Nothobranchius furzeri: one gene and its partners. The protein of the gene in region 2 purifies or fractionates together with the protein of the main gene of each other region. This does not show direct contact. Links are inferred from orthologs where the notes say so. Each region holds a gene or a part of one and is shown on either strand. Other genes may lie near its edges. The genes, in order: g3bp1, E3 ubiquitin/ISG15 ligase TRIM25 and g3bp2a.

Region 1 (4,405 bases), on a different chromosome or scaffold from region 2:
GGATTAAACACTGTGTGTCAAGCTAAACTCTTTTTGACATTGTAATGTGATGTGAGTAATTAAAAGTTTGCACTGAACACTTATTTGTAACATCAGAAAATCCTGGCTGCATGAATTGAAGGTGTGTCTATGAAAATCGGCTTGAATGAGCCAATTCAACATGAGAACACGCTGTTCAGATCTGACTGCCATTTAAGGTTGTTCATGTCTTCAGTCTGTCTGTTCAACGTTGTTGCACTGAGAGGTTTCATTTTCCCTGGCTAAGGCTGCTCGTGGTCCCCTGGGAGACAGCAGAGGGAGATCCGGAGCACCCTGTTACCATCTCCACCCGCTCATCCAGACTCCAGCGTCAGGAATGTGAAACAACCCCAGGGCCCATGAAGCCTGAAGTCCCTCCTCTCTGCCACAGCAGGGAAAAAATAATGAGTTCATCATGCTGTTGAAGAGAAGGTTTGGTGATTTAACACATTAAAATCTCATTCAGGTCATAAAGTCATAGGTGTGGTTTTAAGGAGAATTTTAAGAATTTAACAAAAACTACGAAATAAAAAATAAAAAATACAGGTGAGTTAAACATTTGAAGTGGCACCTTTTAGATTTGATGTTTGAATTTTTTTTAAAGAACCATCATCTGTGTTCTGGCTAACTTTTTTAGGATTGTCAATAATTACAGCTGGATTAATTAGTGATTAATAGATAATAGCTGATTAGATAGATTTCTTTCCAGTTTCCATAAAAAAAGCACATTAGCAAAACATTTGTACTACACATGAATCTAATACTTAAGATATCATATGTGAGGAATGACTCTGGAGGATTTCTTTTCCAGCTCCACAATATTCAATTATTTCATTTTGAATTTCTTTTTTCCTAAATAATTATTACAAGTTATAAAAGTTTCTAAAAGGACAAATTTCCCAGGCAGTCTATTGACCCCTCCAAAGTTAACAGAGCTAAGAACAGAAACAAACTCAAGAAATAATAAAAAAAACAACAATTTTTTAATGAAAGAAACAAACTTAAAAAAATCACGTTATGACATTCACAATGAATATTATGACACAGAGAAGGGGGAATCTGAAGATTTCAGTACCAACATAAATATTGTTCAATCAATGTTGTCTCAAATGTTCCATGTTAGGTGTTTAAAAAGTTGTCCAAATATTTATACATTTGTAACTCTTTTGCTTTTCATTTTAGTTGACATAACGTCTGAATTGTTTTGTTTCGAGACAGAATCAGCATAAATCAGTCTAATCTCAGATAAAACGCGCTTGCATCAATCTTCCACAAATTACATTAGCTCAAATGTTGGCCAAACACTTTTGTCGCCTCCAAGTGGAGAAAATGTAACAGTGCATATTGACTACGGGAGACGCCAGTTCTTAAAACCATCGCACCTTAAACCGTTACTCAAACTTCCATTTTCATCCGGGATACTCCTTGGCGCTTTATTTAATTGGTTGCTGACTAAAACCTTAATCTTATTGGCCAGAGAAGCTCTGAGAGGCGGGACATCATGTTCAGTTGCGATTGCGAGGGTGAAACCACCGGTATCCGGGTACTCCAGCACGTTGTGAAGCCGCTAGTTAACAGGCAGCTGCTACGCTGGTTAAAAAAAGTCACATTATTTCAAAGCAACGTTTTCATTTTAATAGTTTGATCAGTTGGTGAGTTGTTTCGTTCCTATTTATGCTATCCTATTTTCGAAAAAGCAAATTTTCATTTCGCCGCGCTTATTTGATTAACTGGGTTGGCGTCCCGGTCTCCGTCTATTTTCTGGCCTTGCGATGATGTTAGCTGGTTTTGGCCATTGTAGCTAAGCTATTACATAGGTGTTATAACTGTGCAGTTCGCTTAATTATTAAATTATTTAAAACACAAGGCTGTTACTGAAAGTTTGAAATTGTAACTTATTTGAAAATAATTATTAATCCCCAAGTTTCGCTTTTGCTATTTCAGGAAATAGCCACCGCCCTTTCAGTCGTGACTCCCGTTTTCTTTCTTTACAATATTACTTTCCACATTTGGAATTGTATGATCGAACCGAATTTGGTAGTGTTTCGTTGGTTTTATTTGTGTATAAACTACCACCTTGGGTGTGTGGTCGCTAAAAGCGAAAGGTTAGACCAGGGACCGTGCGGGACACGTGCTGGGGCTCCTTCCGTAACCTAGCAGCAGACGGGTCTCTGTTCAGCTTTGAGGCCGTGAGCTGCTCCAGCTGTCGTTGTTCAGCTCCGTGGTGTGGCCGGGCGTCGTGCCATGTGTGCTCAGGTTATATCTGGTAACGGCCGCCGGACTGGCCTTTAGTCCCTGAGGCGAGCGGGGGCCTCCATGACTCCATCACGGCTGGCACGGCGTGGCCTTTGTCTGCTTACAGTTCGAGCACCTTTACTCAAGACCGTGACTTAAGATAATAAACACAAGTCCAAGCTTATCCTCTGCGCGCATCGTGGCCCGGTGGCACATTCTGATCTCGATGGATTGCTTTGCTTGTTTCTTTAACTCGGTTTCATTTCATGATGGATGGGATTTCGCTGGTTGTCTTTATGAGGATGCTCATTTCTGGTTCTGAATGATCTGATAGAAGAAGGATTAGACCGTAGCTTCTATGTGACTAACGTAAATTCTCAGGTTTGATTACCTGTTCTTTATTTGCCTCCTGCCTGAGCAGAAACAGGTTCTCTCACCAACTCATTCATCAAATGTTGCCATAATGTGCTGCATAACGCTAGGTGCCAAAATTATTGTTGCAGGATTGTTAAAAACTAAATGAAGACAATAGTTTTTGATGACTATTAGTTATCAATGTTTACATTAAAACATTTTACAGTTAAAAATATTGTCTTTGATCAGGAACCTGAGCTACAAGTTTTTATTTCATTTTTACAAATTGATGTAAATATATCAAGACTAATGATTTCACTCTCTGTAGTCTGTGGAAGTAGCTGCCTTATGAATTTCTCCACTGTCGGATTAATGAAGTTATTTTATTCTGATTCTTGGATCAAATCACCAGTTTCTTTGTCCCTACTTGGAATCACAGTCCGTCATTTTCTTTGTCAGTGACACTTTTCTTATTTGCAGAGATTTCCAGTTGACCAAAGAAATGGTGATGGAGAAGCCAAGTGCCCAGCTGGTCGGGCGAGAGTTTGTCCGACAGTATTACACACTCCTGAACCAGGCCCCCGACTACCTGCACAGGTACGGAAGTCAGCTGCTTGTGGAGGGTTTGATTTTGAAGTTTAAATGGTTTTATGATAAATTGTTAAATATTTGTACAAACAACTAGTTTGTCTTTTTGTTCAGGTTTTACGGAAAGAACTCCTCCTATGTGCATGGTGGCCTGGACAGCAACGGCAAACCAGTAGAGGCGGTTTATGGACAATCTGTAAGTGGGCTTCACCCAGTTAGAGGCATTTTCCAGCGGCAATACTTGGTGCAACTCGGGAGGGTTCGGTTTGGTCTGATTGCTTTTGTCCAACGGCGCGTTTTGGTATTTTTCCCCTGCTTTCCCTCTACTTTTCAGTCCCTCTGTTTTGGTTCCAAGAGCTGAACCGGTATTTCGACTGTCGGCCACTGATTGGCTAGGGGGCGGAGTCACTGGTTGCTCCAGAGCCTTCTGTCTGCTGTCTGAAACCATAAAACTGAAGAGTGTTCAACATCACCTTTATTTTTGTGCAGAGTTGTTTCTGTGGAGCATGCAGGTCACCTCACAGTGTGTACTGATGACCTTGTGCTATTTTTGTCGCGTAAAGATCCCTGCACAAGCAAATGCTGTGGTCCCCCCCATCCGCTATGAGGGGTGCACCCACTTTTTGTCTCTGAGCAGGCAAGGAAAGCCAAGTACTCTGTGGTGAGCCGAGTTAACCCACGCTGCACTGAGCTGTTTTAGCCTGAGTAGTGCTGTTGGAAAAGGCCTGTTAGGTGTGTCTCATAGTCTCATGAATCTAGAATGTGAAATATTCATGAATATATTTTCTTTTCAAGAGTCATTGTTACACACTTGTTTTTTTCTTCCAGAAACTAAGTTTTCTAGGTAGTTTAACATTCTGATGAATGTTTATCAGTACTTTCTGATTTATTAATCCTCACGTAAATTGTTTTATTCTAATGCTTGTTAAAATAACCATTATCGCTCTTGTCATGTAGTTGGATAATTGAGAAATGATTGATTGCTGTTAAATGCCCAAATTAAATCTTCAGTTCGTTAAATCTTTTGAATTTTTTTTTTATCAGGAGATCCATAAAAGAGTGATGGCTTTGAGTTTCCGAGACTGCCACACTAAGATCAGACATGTGGACGCTCACGCTACTCTGAACGAAGGCGTGGTGGTGCAGGTGATGGGCGAGCTGTCTAATAACATGCAGCCCATGAGGAAGTTCATGCAGACCTTCGTTCTGG
Region 2 (3,650 bases):
ACACAGCCGAGCTGGAGGGGGACAGGTGTTGTCCTTCTTTATATTGCAAGCTTGTGTGTTATGTGCATTACAGCCAGCAATCCAAACAGCAGCAGTATAATCACAATTTGCAGATCACGTTTATTTTTCACAGAGATTGGCCGCGGATTCCTCTTCCTGTTGGCATTCTAGGAATTGAAACTAGGAATCGAAATAAAAAACTTTGAACGATTCCGGGAAAAATGAACAGTTGAAACTGGTTCCAATGGATGCTCGATGCCCAACCCTACTACAGACATAATTCCACTATCTGAGTGGAGTTTCTATTCTGTCTTCAAAAGCCCAGAAGATTCTGCAGTGCGTGTTGACATTTCAGGAGGACAAGATTGTCAGCCTGTGTTCCCAAACAAAGCTTTCGTCTGGTAAGACTGTAGGATTCCACACTCTGAATGAAAAGTGTACTGTTACAGCTCATAATCATTAAATAATCATATGGTTGAACCAAATGTTATTTGAGTAATGTTTGGATAATCTGTGCCTAATTCAGTGAAGTGAAATGAATATTATTATTACATTGAAAGATGTATATGTTAGGATCAGCAATGTTGATTTAACAAGGGAATCATCATCATGCTCATCATAAGATATAAATTACGGTTAAGGCCACATATCGCATAAGTTTAAAGATTCTTTATCCACAGAACATGAACACCTTGTATTAGATGAAGGTGTGGTTCTGAGGGATGTTTGGTAAACCTACAAACATGTCAAATTCTGATTTGCCAGAGTCGTAACATGGTGGATTAATAAAACAGGATTTACTTCCCAATTAACTCAAGTTTCTAGCTGACACCTCGATTCGGCCAAATCGGGAAAGAAGTCTTTTTGAAACAACCTCCTTTCACCTTAATTCAAAACCTTGCCACAACGCTGCAAGTGATTACAGACACAACAGCTCATTCCAGAGCTACTGCAACTCTCAAGATATCCTCTTGGATGCTTAATCTGCAGACCCGAGTTGTATCTCATGACCGGGGAAGTTGAACTCAGAGGAAGTGACCATTCTCTGAGGATCGTGGTCTCGACGTCCGGTGACCTCACCACTCTGACCACAAACCTCCAGACCGCCGGGAGCAACTCATACAAGGGTATCGTAGACTGCATACTGGTGTCTGATGCCGTTCTATAAATCATCAACTCTCTAGTTTATAGCAGACCAAATTCTGTTACACCCAGAACTCACAGTTTCTTCCAGATACGAAGGTTCTGATATACACCTACTTCACACATCACCATTCCATCATCACATATTACATTCCATCACATATCCTTATTCATAGCTTGTTATATATTATAATTAGTCTAGAAAATAGTTTATTTTTAATTATATACTTGACTCTGTCTGAATTAATACGAAGTGTGTTTATGGTCCCTGAATAAGCAAAGAATCTTAAATTCTTCTGGTTAAACATTCAAAGATCAATCAGGTTGATATTCTATATTTATATAGAATCATCACATCTTATTGGTCATAATTTAACCTCACAATTTCACTACATAATGGCGAGCCAGCCACATATGAGCGACCTGAGCTGGAGGTTAATAATTGATCCACCTGGAAACTCCCGATTCTACCTGGATTCTCTCTGGGTTCAGCTGCAGCCTGACACCCTCTGGCACCAAAATCCTCCTTCAGGTTTTCCATAGATTTCTTCAGGTTTTCTGAGGTGTTTTCAGCAGACTGGAGAGGACTTTTGGTGTTTTCTAAACAAAACAAAGTGAACTACTGTAAAAACATACAAAGACAGTTAAAACCAACAGACATTCTCAAGTTTAGGTAGCTTACATATCTTCCCGAGGCCCAGAGATGGCTTGTAGCTAGCGATGGGTACCGAATTCGGTACTTTTTAAGGTACCGACCGAATTCCATAGTACCGACTGAACACCGATTCACGTCATTTGAAACGGTGCCTCGTTTCGGTACCCGTCCTTCGCAACAAGAACTTGCCTAGACAGCTGAGCAAGAGCGTTAAGTCGTCGGTCGCTGCGAGCGAGTTGTAAACAGAGCAGCATGGTAGAAAGAACGCACGCTAAAGCTTGGGTCCACTTCACTAAATGTGATGGGTAACTGGGTGATGATGAAACCAGCGACAACGATCTAAGTGAGACATCATCTTAATCTGCTCCAGTAGGTAAATAAAATGTTTAAGATAACGTTAGCTTAATATGTTAGCTTCCGTTCTGCTAATGGTGTGTTCGCTTTCTCCTCGGAACTCTGAATTTCCGAATAGAAGAACATGAACGCGCTCTAAAGTTTGGCTTCACTTTACTAAATGCGACGGGTGATTAGGTGAAGATGAAACCAGCGACGACGATCTAAGTGTGAGGTATCATCGTTTTAATCTGCTCCAGCAGCTAAATAATCTGTTTAAGATCACGTTAGCTTGATAAATTAGCTTCCATTGCCACCATTATCAGCTAATGGTACGTTCGCTTTCTCCTCGGAAATTCTATCTTCCCAATGGGAAAAATCAAATGAAAAAGGACGGCAAAAGGAATGAAGATACAGAGTAAATTTAGTTCACAGTAAAGATGTTTGCTTCAGTTTAATTATCAGCTTATAAAACTACAAGGACGATGTTAAAATACAAACAGTTGCATGTTATTTCTCGTGATATTTATCAAATATGGTTATATATTGAGAAAAATATATATTGAAATATTAAACACTCAAAAGTATCTAAAATTGATACCGTTAAGTACCGGTATTGATTCCTAGGTACCGGGAATTAGCACTGAATCGATTCAAATGTCAAAGGTACCCATCCCTACTTGTAGCACTAGATTTTATTGTATCACATCTGTTAAGATCAAACATTTTAAATCTACCTTTTTTATTTGGCGGCTTCTTCTTCTGGCCCGCTTTGGCGGGCGGTCCAGGACTGTGGGATCTGGGGAGTCTCATAAGAGGAGGAGGAGGGAACTTAAGCTCTGAAAATTTTAGAAGAATACGATCAGTTTGATTTATTTATTTATTCATTTTTCCTACATATCACAACAAACTGACCTGACTGCTGACTAATTGCTGGATTCCCTTGTGTAAATCCAGTGGCAGAAGCTACCTTTTCACCTGCAGATGTGACAAAACGAATAATCTTCACCAGCTCACCTACTTACATTTAAAACACGCATCCACGGAGAGAAATCACACCCCTAAATAATGTTTTGATTACGTTCTTGTTTCCACCACACCCCAGAATAAACCAATCACCCTCTGCATTACTGTCAGCTATCACCTCTGCAATAAAAACGTGACAATATTTACTTCATATTTCTTTCTTCATGCATCTAAAATGAGTGATACCTAATTATTTATTTGCATGTTCACCTCTCTGAAGTATTGTTATCCTGGTTTCATGCGGATGTTTCAGGAGCTCCACCAGAAAGTTCTTCAGGGCTGCAGTAAAGGCCTCCGACTGCTTCACCTTCTTTGAGTCTAGACTGAGTCGAGGGGTATAGGGGTCAAAGTTCACGGCTGGAGGGAGGTTAAAATGAGCCTGGAAGGAGGAGAAACACCAGACTTTGAGGTTGAAATAATGTGAAAATGCATTTGATAAAGCTTTGGACCGGGAAAAAAAAACAATTCATATTTAATCTGAACATGATTAACA
Region 3 (3,650 bases), about 5.7 Mb from region 2:
CAGTTGCCGAGGCAAAATCTCGGGCGTGGGAGGAGTTTGGTGAGGCCATGGAGAAAGACTATCGATCGGCTCCAAAGAGGTTCTGGCAAACTGTCCGGCGCCTCAGGAGAGGAAGGCAGCAACTCGCTCACACTGTTTACAGTGAGGATGGGGAGCTGCTGACGTCAACTGAGGCTATAGTCGGACGGTGGAAGGAATACTTTGAGGAGCTCCTCAATCCCACCAATGCGCATTCCGAGGAGGAACCAGAGCTGGGAGGCCTGGGGATGGACTGTCCGATCTCGGGGGCAGAAGTTGCTGAGGTAGTCAAACAACTACACAGCGGCGGAGCCCCGGGGGCGGATGAGGTTCGTCCTGGGTATCTCAAGGCTATGGATGTTGTAGGGCTGTCATGGTTGACACGTCTCTACAACATTGCGTGGTCATCGGGGGCAGTTCCTAGGGAGTGGCAGACCGGGGTGGTGGTCCCCATCTTTAAGAAGGGTGACCTGAGGGTGTGTTCCAACTATAGGGGGATCACACTCCTCAGCCTCCCTGGAAAGGTCTACTCCAAGGTACTGGAGAGGAGGGTCCGATCGATAGTTGAATCTCAGATAGAGGAGGAGCAATGTGGTTTTCGTCCTGGCCGTGGAACTGTGGACCAGCTCTATACCCTTGCAAGGGTGATGGAGGGGGCATGGGAGTTTGCCCAACCAATCCACATGTGCTTTGTGGATTTGGAGAAGGCTTATGACCGTGTCCCCAGGGGCACCCTGTGGGGGACGCTCCAGGAGTATGGGGTGGGTGGCTTTCTGTTAAGGGCCATTCAGTCCCTTTACCAGAGGAGCGTGAGTTTGGTCCGCATAGCCGGTAGTAAGTCGGACCTGTTCCCAGTGAGGGTTGGACTCCGCCAGGGCTGCCCTTTGTCACCGGTTCTGTTCATCACTTTTATGGACAGAATTTCTAGACGCAGCCGTGGTGTGGAGTGTGTCGAGTTTGGTGGCAGGAGAATCTCGTCTCTGCTTTTTGCGGATGATGTGGTCCTCCTAGCTTCATCCAGCTCTGACCTTCAGCTCTTGCTGGGTAGGTTCGCGGCCGAATGTGAAGCGGCTGGGATGAGGATCAGCACCTCCAAATCTGAGACCATGGTTCTCGACCGGAAAAGGGTGGCTTGCCACCTCCGGGTCGGGGGAGAGGTCCTACCTCAAGTGGAGGAGTTTAAGTATCTCGGGGTCTTGTTCACGAGTGAGGGTAGGAGGGATCGGGAGATCGACAGGCGGATTGGTTCGGCATCTGCAGTGATGCGGACGCTGAGCCGATCTGTCGTGGGGAAGAGGGAGCTGAGCCAGAAAGCCAGGCTCTCGATTTACCGGTCGATCTACGTCCCAATCCTCACCTATGGTCATGAGCTTTGGGTAATGACCGAAAGAACGAGATCGCGGATACAAGCGGCCGAAATGAGTTTCCTCCGTAGGGTGGCCGGGCTCAGCCTTAGAGATAGGGTGAGGAGCTCGGACATTCGGGAGGGACTCGGAGTAGAACCGCTGCTCCTCCGGATCGAAAGGAGCCAGTTGAGGTGGTTTGGGCATCTGGTCAGGATGCCTCCTGGACGCCTCCCCGGGGAGGTGTTTCGGGCATGTCCTGCCGGCAGAAGGCCCCCGGGTCGACCCAGGACACGTTGGAGAGGTTACATCTCCAATCTGGTCCGGGAACGCCTTGGGGTCCTGCCGGAGGAGCTGGTGGACAAGGCCGGGGAGAGGACGGCCTGGAGCTCCCTAGTTGGGATGCTGCCCCCGCGACCCGGACCCGGATAAGCGGAGGAAGACGAGACGAGACGAGCTTCCTCTTTGAGGAAGATGAGTTGGGTCATGAACTGACACTAAAAATAAGTGTTTTAATCTTTTCAGCTTTGTTTTTGTTAGCGGTCTGCTTCGTATGCTTACATGAGGTGTGCTCATGAAGTAGTGTGTCCTGCTGGAGAGACGCCATGCAGTCTGCCTCACTGAAATCTTACGCCGTACAGTGTGACACTTTCTGGAATTCTCAAGTGTGACTTGAAAATTCCCGTGTGACAGCCAAAAAAATAATAAATCGCTCAGTGTGATCCGGGCTTGAGAGAAGTGATACAGAGCAGGAGGTGAAAGCAAGCGTTGACTGGATAAACGTGCAAAACAAAATACTTTAAATAATGAAACGATATGGAAAAATTCTTTGTGACAGCATGAAAAAGGAAATTCCAGAACAATGGACTAAAAAGTGGTAAATCAAATAAAAGATGAGTCCCCAAACCACCACACAAATGAAAATGGGTAATGAATTGTTGATACATGCCCCTTCTACCTTGGCCCCCAGGATTCTTTGCACGGGATCGGGGTCATCGAAGACCACAAACCCAAAGTTGGGCAACTTCCCACCGACTCCTTTGGTGTTGATTCGCAGCTCAACCACGTTCCCATAAGCTGCAACAAACAGAAACAACATTTACTGGATGATGACTGCAGAAAGCTGAAGATACCAAAGTGTTGATTTCTGAGAGAAACAAACATACTCATGAAAAACTCCTTGAGCTCGTTCTCATCGATGTCATGTGGAAGGTTGCCAACAAACAGCTGGTGGCTGTCCGGGTACCGCACAATCCTCCTGCTGTCCATGTCCCCGGATTCAGAGTCTCCTCTGCCACCTGAACACAAACACACACCAGATTAGCAACATCTGCACCACATAAACAACGGATTAATATTCTAATCTAATAATAAAGCGTGAAGACAAGTGATACCTTTGTTAACAAAACTTAAGTGTGGCTTCCCTGTTTGTGTCTCTGAAGATCCAACACCATCTATTAGTGACAGAAATGTGCAGACAGTAAAGGAAAGAGAGTCCAAAGGGGAAAGTGGATTAAGGCTGAAATTGAGAAGCTTAAGTATTACTGGGTCGGGGACCTCGCTGGGTGAAGGTTGGTCTATCGCGGGTTCGCTGATCTCTGGGGCGAAGCGGTGCTGCCTGCGTCTCTTGCTTTGTTGTTTCAACTCTGGGCTGCATAAAGCACATCACACAAGAAAAATTAAGCCCCACATGGTACCATGTACACATAGGCTAAGGCCCAGAAATAACCAGCACACCGATAATGGGCCTCTCTTCACAAACGTTTAACTAGAGCGCTGCTTTCAGGTTTTTACTCTGGTGCATCTTTAGACACAGAATTTCCTCAAATACATATTGAATGTTGATATTTCCATGGTAAAGTCTGACTTACCTGTGAGCTCGGAGCTTTAACAACATGTGGGGAGATTCCAGAAGAGGGGACTGTGCCAGTAGGAGGAAGGTTTTTACTGGTCACCAGAGCCCAGGAGAAAGGCTGGGAGAAATGAAAGTGAACTTTAGAGCACCATTAACGCCCGTGTTCAACATCTGTGCATCTGAAGCAAGAACAAGAAACTTTACTAAATGACTGTATAGTAAAATCTGTTGTGAGACGTAGGAAACAAACAGCACAACCTTCAACTGGAGCGCTTTTCTGTCTTAAACTGTGACTAAGGCTACGTTCACAGTGCAGACAAAAGTATAGGGCTGAAACGATTCCTCGAGTACCTCGAATAATTCGAGTACAAAAAATCCTCGAGTCAAATTCTCTGCCTCGAAGCTTCGTTTAATTCATGTTTAATTAATTCATG

Evidence for each region.
Region 1: the proteins of E3 ubiquitin/ISG15 ligase TRIM25 (region 2) and g3bp1 purify together in Homo sapiens (affinity purification with mass spectrometry; 4 studies listed by BioGRID and IntAct, with this or other methods). This does not show direct contact. The link is inferred for Nothobranchius furzeri from reciprocal best matches to the Homo sapiens genes TRIM25 and G3BP1.
Region 3: the proteins of E3 ubiquitin/ISG15 ligase TRIM25 (region 2) and g3bp2a purify together in Homo sapiens (affinity purification with mass spectrometry; 4 studies listed by BioGRID and IntAct, counting the BioPlex papers as one, with this or other methods). This does not show direct contact. The link is inferred for Nothobranchius furzeri from reciprocal best matches to the Homo sapiens genes TRIM25 and G3BP2.

The regions. Positions count from the first base shown.
Region 1 is NC_091741.1:69,282,944-69,287,348, reverse strand, and holds the start of g3bp1 (ras GTPase-activating protein-binding protein 1), read left to right. Parts: upstream 1-1,535; 5' UTR 1,536-1,670; intron 1,671-3,087; 5' UTR 3,088-3,109; coding exon 3,110-3,204; intron 3,205-3,309; coding exon 3,310-3,391; intron 3,392-4,239; coding exon 4,240-4,405. UniProt on the Homo sapiens protein: Protein involved in various processes, such as stress granule formation and innate immunity. Plays an essential role in stress granule formation.
Region 2 is NC_091744.1:7,424,764-7,428,413, reverse strand, and holds part of E3 ubiquitin/ISG15 ligase TRIM25, read right to left. Parts: intron 3,537-3,650; coding exon 3,368-3,536; intron 3,110-3,367; coding exon 3,047-3,109; intron 2,971-3,046; coding exon 2,869-2,970; intron 1,744-2,868; coding exon 1,615-1,743; intron 1-1,614.
Region 3 is NC_091744.1:13,128,899-13,132,548, reverse strand, and holds part of g3bp2a (ras GTPase-activating protein-binding protein 2), read right to left. Parts: intron 3,335-3,650; coding exon 3,233-3,334; intron 3,013-3,232; coding exon 2,907-3,012; intron 2,816-2,906; coding exon 2,756-2,815; intron 2,660-2,755; coding exon 2,528-2,659; intron 2,439-2,527; coding exon 2,311-2,438; intron 1-2,310.